2 linked regions of the Xenopus tropicalis genome follow. The protein of the gene in region 1 purifies or fractionates together with the protein of each later gene. This does not show direct contact. Links are inferred from orthologs where the notes say so. Each region holds a gene or a part of one and is shown on either strand. Other genes may lie near its edges. The genes, in order: lrrc41 and drg1.

Evidence for each region.
Region 2: the proteins of lrrc41 (region 1) and drg1 purify together in Homo sapiens (affinity purification with mass spectrometry; 3 studies listed by BioGRID and IntAct, counting the BioPlex papers as one, with this or other methods). This does not show direct contact. The link is inferred for Xenopus tropicalis from reciprocal best matches to the Homo sapiens genes LRRC41 and DRG1.

Annotation. Positions count from the first base shown.
Region 1 is NC_030680.2:93,241,135-93,245,710, reverse strand, and holds the start of lrrc41 (leucine-rich repeat-containing protein 41), read left to right. Parts: upstream 1-1,602; 5' UTR 1,603-1,737; coding exon 1,738-1,840; exon of another isoform or gene 1,841-2,017; intron 2,018-2,045; exon of another isoform or gene 2,046-2,118; coding exon of another isoform or gene 2,119-2,134; intron 2,135-2,921; coding exon 2,922-3,008; intron 3,009-4,576. UniProt on the Homo sapiens protein: Probable substrate recognition component of an ECS (Elongin BC-CUL2/5-SOCS-box protein) E3 ubiquitin ligase complex which mediates the ubiquitination and subsequent proteasomal degradation of target proteins.
Region 2 is NC_030677.2:152,075,909-152,080,272, reverse strand, and holds the end of drg1 (developmentally-regulated GTP-binding protein 1), read right to left. Parts: intron 2,323-4,364; coding exon 2,192-2,322; intron 2,060-2,191; coding exon 1,892-2,059; intron 1,795-1,891; coding exon 1,672-1,794; intron 956-1,671; coding exon 856-955; 3' UTR 737-855; downstream 1-736. UniProt on the Homo sapiens protein: Catalyzes the conversion of GTP to GDP through hydrolysis of the gamma-phosphate bond in GTP. Appears to have an intrinsic GTPase activity that is stimulated by ZC3H15/DFRP1 binding likely by increasing the affinity for the potassium ions.

The sequences.
Region 1 (4,576 bases):
AGCTACATTATTCATGTATCAATATTGAATTATTTACGGCCCATACTTATCTAATTTGTATAGATAAAATAGAGGGGTTAGTTGGACTCCAGAGGGTTTCACAAAAAACACATGCGCTATAAATTTTCAAGCATTATAAACATCACTGTATATTATAATTAATTCCGTAATATAATTATACATTCAAAAGATTTTAAGAGTAAAATATCCAACAAGTAGAATACGAGTGAAAGAAGTGTATATAGTTATTTGTAACTTATTAAAAAACTTTATAAAACCCCATTACCTCAATGGACCAGGACCCCCATGGTGCCGTTTAAATAATTACCTTCTCAGTGATATTGGGGCATAAGATCCCCTATATATATATGTAGTTAATAATGTACCACCTATTGTAAAATATATGGATATTATAAGTCACAGAGGAATTCCATGACCTTATAAAAGCACAAGGCCAAAGGCTAAATGCCTAATATCTTAATATTTTATAACAGGGGGTACACTATTTATTATAATACACAAGTTTCAGGGAGATGTGACAAAAATGATATTACTAAGCACCGGTTATAACTGATGTCATCACTAAACACTGTTTATAAGCATATCATTTACAGGATATTCATAGCTATGTATTATATTATCATATAGTGCTGACATATTCTGCAGCATTGTTGTAGAGATTATACTGTAGGTAATTCCCATCATTCCCAGCCCCAGTGGAGCGTACAGTCTAAGGTCCCTTTCACATTCATAAACAGTAGAGACAAGTGTATCAGGAGCCAATTAACCTGCCTGTATGTTTTGGAGTGTGGGAAGAAACAGGAGTACCCATGCAAGCACAGGAAGATCAAGCAAACTCCTTTTCAATACCTTGTGCTCTGAAACAAAGATAAAAAAGGAGCTGGTAGGTGTGTGCATAGAAGTATCTAGTAGAATTAAGCCTAAAACAACTGGACTTTTCTGAGTTTTTTGAAAAATGTTTCACCACTCATTCAAGTGGCTTCTTGCCATTATGAACATACACACATATGTACATACACAGATACAATAAAAAGTGCTATAGATTGTAGAAGAACAGGACTGACATTTTTCATGTTCACCTAAGGTAATAGTGCTTTTTTCAAGTCACACTGACTAAATTCTCCCTGTAACAGGCATTTAAAGAGGTTGTAACAATCTCCTGGGATACATTCATTGATGAGAAGTCACCTAGACTTTTGAGTCTATCCATTAGTGGAAATACACTTTTCAGATTCAAAAGAGGCACTGGCATTTGTAGTAGGTAGGGCTGACCAGCCCCAGTATAAAGAGCCAGTCTATGGCACCTTACAGCACATCCTCATTTGCCAGAACAGATTGCCATTCCTGACCTGCTTAAAAATGTCAGACCTGATGTAGACAATAACATTCTGAGACAATTAGTCTATAATATTCTTTAGTTATTGATTTTTTTAATTTCCCTTCTTCAATCAACAATAAAGCAATTTAGAGGATACATGATAAAAAATCAACTGCCACAATAAGGCATTTGACCTTCGCAAGATGGCTAGTTAACGGCGATGCCACCTTCGACACGTGATCTAAACAGAGCTGTCTGACCTTCTCAAGATGGCTGCCCTCTATCCTTACTGAGAAGTGGCTCCTCGCCCGCTCTGTTCCCTCTTGACTTGTCCGCTGCTTTTGGTTTCGGTTTTCCCCTGAAATGAGTAAGTAGCGGTGATCAGGGTAACCCAGGCCATGGATCATGCGGTGGAAGATGCTGGAGGGACGGCAACCCTATTTGAGCTTTGTGCCAGGGTAGTGAATGCCAACATGGAGAAACTGGAACAAGACGTTTGGGGTAAGCCAGCGAAACACCAGGACTGCCTGGTGTCGTTCGGGGAATACTAGCATTCCTTTCATTCTCTGTACTCTACTGACAGACGGGGGTTGTGGTAAAATGCTTGTATCCCACTTGAGCCCCTAGTATTGCTACATTTATATCTCTCTCATTAGGTTTCTGTGGGAAGTATGTCGTTTCTGTCAGCCGTTAGAATTCACATCAGGTGGTGCTCTTAGAAAGATAAATACTGATCTATATCCTTACAAGAAGGTTCATGATGAACCAAAAGTACAATTATGCCAGAGACAGTGGGTAAGTTGGAGGGTTGCAGGTTAAGAATCCATGATCCATGGAAAGTTTCTGCTTTAAAGATATTTCCATTTAACCCTGATTTTACTGTGCATATGTGTGCGATGGACCCTTTTTCGTATTTAAATAGAGGATTGCAGGCAAGTGTGGTTTCATAACTACCACTGAGGTTTCTTTAGTTCCATCAACTTTAATGGATGCTAATGCAGTATGATATTACCCTGAAGCTGCTGTAAATAAGCTGGCTGTTCTGTCTTTCCTGTGCACTTTAAGGGCTCTGGCACACGGGGAGAACATGTAAGTCGCCGGCGGGATGGCAGACGCGGCGGGGCAATTTTTTTTTCGGCGATTTGCGCGAAATCGAGCCGCCGTGTCTGCCATCCCGCCGGCGACTTACATGTTCGCCGGTGGGATGGCAGGGGGAAGGCAACTCGGGGAGATTAGTCGCCCGCGAACAGGGAGTTTTGCCGCGGGCGACTAATCTCCCCGTGTGCCAGAGCCCTAAGGGTGAAGACACACTGAGCTACTAGTAGCAGCTACTTTTTCTTAAACTCTGGAAAATACCCTCCCATAGACAATACTGAGAATTGCCTCTGCTAAAACACATGTAGAGACAGTTATCAGTAAATGATCAGCATTGTCTGTTTTGGTAGCCACAACAAGTAGCTGCTACTAGTAGCTCTGTGTGACTTCACCCTAAATGTATAAATGTAATGGAGATTTTAGAATATAAGCCATTGAGAAACTATGGAGAAGATTATTCCTTATGTGGAAGTGTTTGTTCTTACAGGGCTGCCAGCTGTTGTCCTGCAAGGAATTCTGCCACTATTAAACATTTATTATCTTGAGAGAATAGAACAAGCTGCTGTTAAAAAAGGTATGGTTGTACAGTAACATTATATTGGGGTTTGACAGTTTTCAATTTAAAAAGTAAAAACTAGTTCCTGCAACACTGCATTAAAGAACCAGTATCTTAAAGAATCAAAATGATTAATTCAACCTGACATACTATATATTACTAAGCTGTGTATGTAAAAAAGTTTTATTTTTATTATTTATTTATTATTATTGTATCATCATCAGCCATCTGGTCTATTGTATTTAATGGAACTTTGGATAATACATAAAAAAGTGTCTAAGAATAGGACATTTTGTTACATACTAAAAGGTGTATTACCAATTTGAATGAATATTGTGTGTGTATTTATGATACTTTAATTCAGTGCTGTCCAACTTCTGTTGTACTGAGGGCCGGAATTTTTCCGACCTACGTGGTGGAGGGCCGATAATGGAAGCCAGTTTTGACCACTCCCCTTTTTGAAACCGCACCCACTTGAAACCACACCCATGTTATCACATGACCATACCCATATTAATGGTTGTAGTACAGCAAAAACCTGCCATACTCTGCCTGCCCTACCCTGCCTGTGTGTGCCATACTCTGCCTTCCCTACCCTGCCTGTGTGTGCCATACTCTGCCTTCCCTACCCTGCCTGTGTGTGCCATACTCTGCCTTCCCTACCCTGCCTGTGTGCCATACTTTCACTGTGTGTGCCATTCTTGGCTGGTTTGTGCCATACTTGGCCTGTGTGTGCCATACTCTGCCTTCCCTACCCTGCCTGTGTGTGCCATACTTTCATTGTGTTTGCCATTCTTGGCTGGTTTGTGCCATACTTGGCCTGTGTGTGCCATACTCTGCCTTCCCTACCCTGCCTGTGTGTGCCATACTCTGCTTGCCCTATGCTGCCTGTGTGTATGGCACACACAGGCAGCCTACAGTGACACAATGCTGGCACTACTCCTACAGTCTGCACAATAACTATATATTAAAAAACTTTTTAATTGCACTACCACCTCAGTATATGTTCTTTTTGTAGTGTGCAGGGATTATTTGTGGGTTTCTACTGCTCCTGAGGTGTGAACAGGGGAACAATGGGGGTGATTACAGCCTGAGCCTGAGGTGTGAACACTGCAGGGGGTGAACAATGCAGAGATTAAAAGGTGTGAAGAACACAGTGGATTACATTTTTAAACAATACAGAGGGATTACAGCCTGAATCTGAGGTGAGAACCATGCAGGGGGCCAGTTAATCACAGTACTGATACCATTTAAAGCTTACACAAGAGTAAGCCATCAAAGCAGTCAGACAGGTGGGGGGCCACACAGAGGGGGGTCGCGGGCCGCATGCGGCCCGCGGGCCGCCAGTTGGACAGCACTGCTTTAATTTATTGGTGGCGCTGGTCATTCAAAGGGCATGTTTATTCCTTGCGAGGTAGATAATTAGATTACCAGTATAAAGCCTCTCCCTTTTTCTTTGTTGTGACTGGTGTGTTAGCAGGATCTACCGCACAATGACCAAACATAAATTAGCTTCACTTTCTCTGCTTTCGCTTTATAGCTCAAAAAACATTTTTTGTGACCAAAACAGAAAGCAAAAATAATGT
Region 2 (4,364 bases), on another chromosome or scaffold:
AATATCAGGCCTCTTAAAGGGGAACTATAGCAAAAATGAAAATTTAGTATAACCTCCATTATAATATATATATATATATATATATATATATATTATAATGGAGGTTATACTAAATTTTCATTTTTGCTATAATGAATATAGTGTAATGAATACACCAATAGGTCCGCACTCCCTTTAATTAATCCTTTAGGCAAAATGGGCAGGTGCTACATAGGGTTGTACCTTGTATATTTCTCCAAAAGATATGTGCACTCCAGCGTAGATCAATCAGCTTTATTAATAACTTACATCATAGCTCAAACATCCAGATGTTTGAGCTATGATGTAAGTTATTAATAAAGCTAATTGATCTACGCTGGAGTGCACATATCTTTTGGAGAAATATATATATATTATATAAAAAATATATATATATATTTTTATTTGTTTTTTGGGGGGGGGGAGAGGCTCCATTTCCTAGCAGATGTATTAGAGCTAACCCAAATAACTGATTCAGGCACAAACAAAATCTAACTAAATAACTGTTTATATAGTGCAAACTCATCTTCTTGGCAAAAACAGCAAAAACTGTTTATAGTCAAAAAATGCCTGGACCATCATTACTGCAATTTATCTTTTGGAGCCGGTTAGTCAAGTGAGGATGGGGAAATCCTTGCGTATGTTTTGCAAGAGTCATTATAATTACTTGTGGAGACACAATGGGGCAGTCCTGCAATTTTAATGAAAAACAGATAAATTAATCTGCTGAAAATGAAATGTACTGCTTTATTGGCATGCTGCCTGAGAAATAGGCACAGTTTAATAAACAGCTTGAAATACTGAACTGACATGCCTAATTGCAGGTTAATATGTGAATTATTTCTTAACAATTTGAATGACATCCTCATCTTCCAACACATGGTCTTTCCCAACCTTTTGAGGGTTGTGTTTCACAGATGATCCCCAAACCAAGGCACTGCAAGGGAGAAAAACATATTGGATTCATGAACTTTATTATGCACCTCTGTATAAAAGAAATATTTTACTACTACTAGGTATAGGACCCCTTATCCAGAATGCTCGGGACCAAGGGTATTCCGGATAAGGGGTCTTTCTGTAACTTGGATCACACACCTTAAAGTCTACTAAAAAAAAATCAATAAAACATTAATTAAACCCAATAAGGATTATTTATATCTTAGTTGGGATCAATTACAATGTACTGTTTTATTTCTACAGAGAAAAGGGAAATCAGTTTTAAATTATTTGATTAAAATGGAGTCTATTGGAGACAGGCTTTCCGTAATTTGGAGCTTTCTGGATAATGGGTTTCCGGATAAGGGATCCCATACCTGTACTACTTAAAGCGGTTTTGTGTTAAAGGCATGTTGTACAGTGACAGCTTATAACAAGTGTAATTGTGGGGGGTGTAAACAGATATTTCAGTCTATAACAGAAGAAAAATTATATAAAATGTCTGCTGCTTCCCCACTCCCCCCCCCAAAAATGTAGCATCTTAAATCCTTCACAAATATACCAAGCAAAAGGCTCCAAATTACTGGCACACCTCCCTGGTTTACTTGCACCTTCCTACCTGAGTTACTTAAATATTCAGTCCCAAATATCATGGATGAATGTGCAGAATATGTGGTGAAACAGATGGCTGCCATGAACTACTAGAAGACAACTTACTATTTGAACTCTTTGATAAGGTTCTTATGGATCTTTGTGCAAAAGTCTTCTGCTGCAGTACGAGAAAACGGCAACACTACAGGTGAAGTATAATCAGGCAACTGACCCTTAGGTTTGGTGTAACTGTAACAGGAACAAAAGGTCATCTCAATCACGTTTAAGAGCGTGAAATCATTAACTGGATTAATCTACATTAATGGCTTCTTGCAAACAGACTTACATTCGCACCAGTTGGAGGTAATCCCAGATCTTCTCAAGAAGGTCATCAAAATTCCAGCGGTGATGGGCAGAGATAGGCACACAGTGTGGGACTTTGTAGATGATATCCAGTTCTTCAACTGAAATCTGGTCAATCTTATTCAGCACATAGATGCAAGGAATATAAACCCTACAAGTAAATGAATAGTAGTCTACATTAGGTATGACCAAAGCTTGACAGTTCATTAACACCTCCTCTGGCAGTAAACTTGAACAACAAATTCAGTGCACTTACAGAGTTGCTTTATATTCACATACTCACCTATTACCTTCTACTACGTCTATCAGGTCATCAGCAGTGGCATCACTGCGCAGTGTGATATCTGCATTGTGGATCTTATACTCAGCCAAGATGCTCTTTACTGTATCATTATCGAGCTCACTCTGGGCACACTATGGAAATAAAAATAAGACCTTAGTTTTAATATTGGGTATTGTTATGTATCATTTACAAACACAGAGAAACGGAGTATAGTGCCAGCTGTAATCATTAGGTAACATAAGTGGCCATAACGCTCAACCCTGTTATATAACTAACTCAAAGAAGTATAAGCTCTAATTATACTTGTGTTTGTTGAAAATATTTTCTGCCTATTCTTAATTTGAAAAAAGAAATCTTATTTTACACAGATCATGTATTCTTTTAATAATAATAATAAAAAAAATAATCATATTTTACACAGAGCACCGTTTTGTTTTTACTTGTATTTCCTCCATGTTACTGTCTAGGTTACAAAATCCCAACAGACAATGGCCGTATCATCTCTATAGGCCTGCTGTATGATCCAATACTTGGTTATCATACCAACGGTTGGATAAGCCACATTTGCTAAAGTATATATTTTTGCATTAAAATCTGCTTTTAAAGACCAATGTGCTATTTCAGGTTAAAAAAGGAACTCATTATACAATGGGATTATCAGAGGAATTTAATAAACTAGGTAGTCTTCACCCCCCACAATTTCTTGCAAAAACAAGGCAATCTGAAACGGATTTCAGTTTATGTCTTTGCCCTAATGAATAGTAATTTCTTAATGAAACCATAAAACATTTTTTACAATGTACAGATATGGCTATAGTGAATAATGTGAATCTTAGAAATTATGTCTAAATGGGAGGGTGTGTAATCAAACTAAAGATTGTGCTTGTACAACACAGCCCACATTGTCATTCTGTAGTAACAGTACATCGTTACACTTTAGAGCAGTACAGTTTGCAATTAATTACTTCTATTACTGCTGTTGTCGCCTGGTAAGTGTTGATTTTCAGCTCCTAGGGAGCAAAGGGGCATTAGGTCCCAGGAAAGTACTTGGCAGTGCCATGTTAGTTAGAATTGGACTAGACCAATCATTCCCATTGCTGACATATTGTGGGGATTACAACACAATGGAAATGAAAAAGGAAAGCTCTCATGCCAGTCAGTTTAAGAAACGGATGCATTTTGGGAAAGGCTATATGTAATTTAACACCTCTAAACCAGGGGAGAAAAAATAAAAAAAATAAAATAATCTCATAACAGATTAATACAGTCAAATACAAAAGGAAAAAAAGGATGGATAGAAGTCCCTTACATATATCATATATGTAAAAATGCACATTATTTTTAATTGAAAGTTGGGATTTGCTTATTTAATGCAGCATGGAATTGCCTAGCCAGTATCCTAGCTGTCTGTAAACACTGTCCTGCTGTAAATTCACTTTCAAAAGGAAAATGTGCTTTACCTGGACTTGCTTTACCTTGGAAGTAAAAAAGGGACTTAGAAAGCTGGGCAGAGCATGAGGAGAGTAACATCCCTCCGGATGGAGGCAGTGAGTGATACGGAGAGGGTCATCTCACTGTGTCTGCTACTAGCATATTTAAATAACCCCCAGGTAACTCACTCAGCAGCCCTTACAGAAAGCTGCTGTGCCAAAGCAATCTTTTTAGTGGTGTAAGGATACAATTATCTTTAAAACACGCAAGAAAATTAAATGCCAAAAGTATTAAGAGGACAACTTTGACAACGTTTTCCATTTATGCCCCCTTAAATATGTTATAAGTTTGGTTAAAACACGAATAACTGAAAAATAAGTGATTGTGCCACTTTTTACAAGGTCTTGATTCATTCATTTTTTTCATTACAATTTCACTACAGGATCTTAAAGAACAAACAACTTTTCTGCTGGAGTAAACTGGGTGTTTTTAGAACAGTTAGCTGTTGAGAGGCTTTCCAGGGCTGCAAAAACATGAGGCTAACTCTCTGCATATATGCCACTAAATCATGCCTAGTATAACATGAGCCTGAGTTAATCATGGGATATTCTAACTAGCAGTTGCACAGTTTACTAGCAGTTGCTAGCATTTTTAGCATTGAAAACCATACATGCCCTTTAAAAACATCTGATTTTGTTTCTCTTCTTTCTGAGCCTCTTGGTTATTTCCCCTTTTATACCCA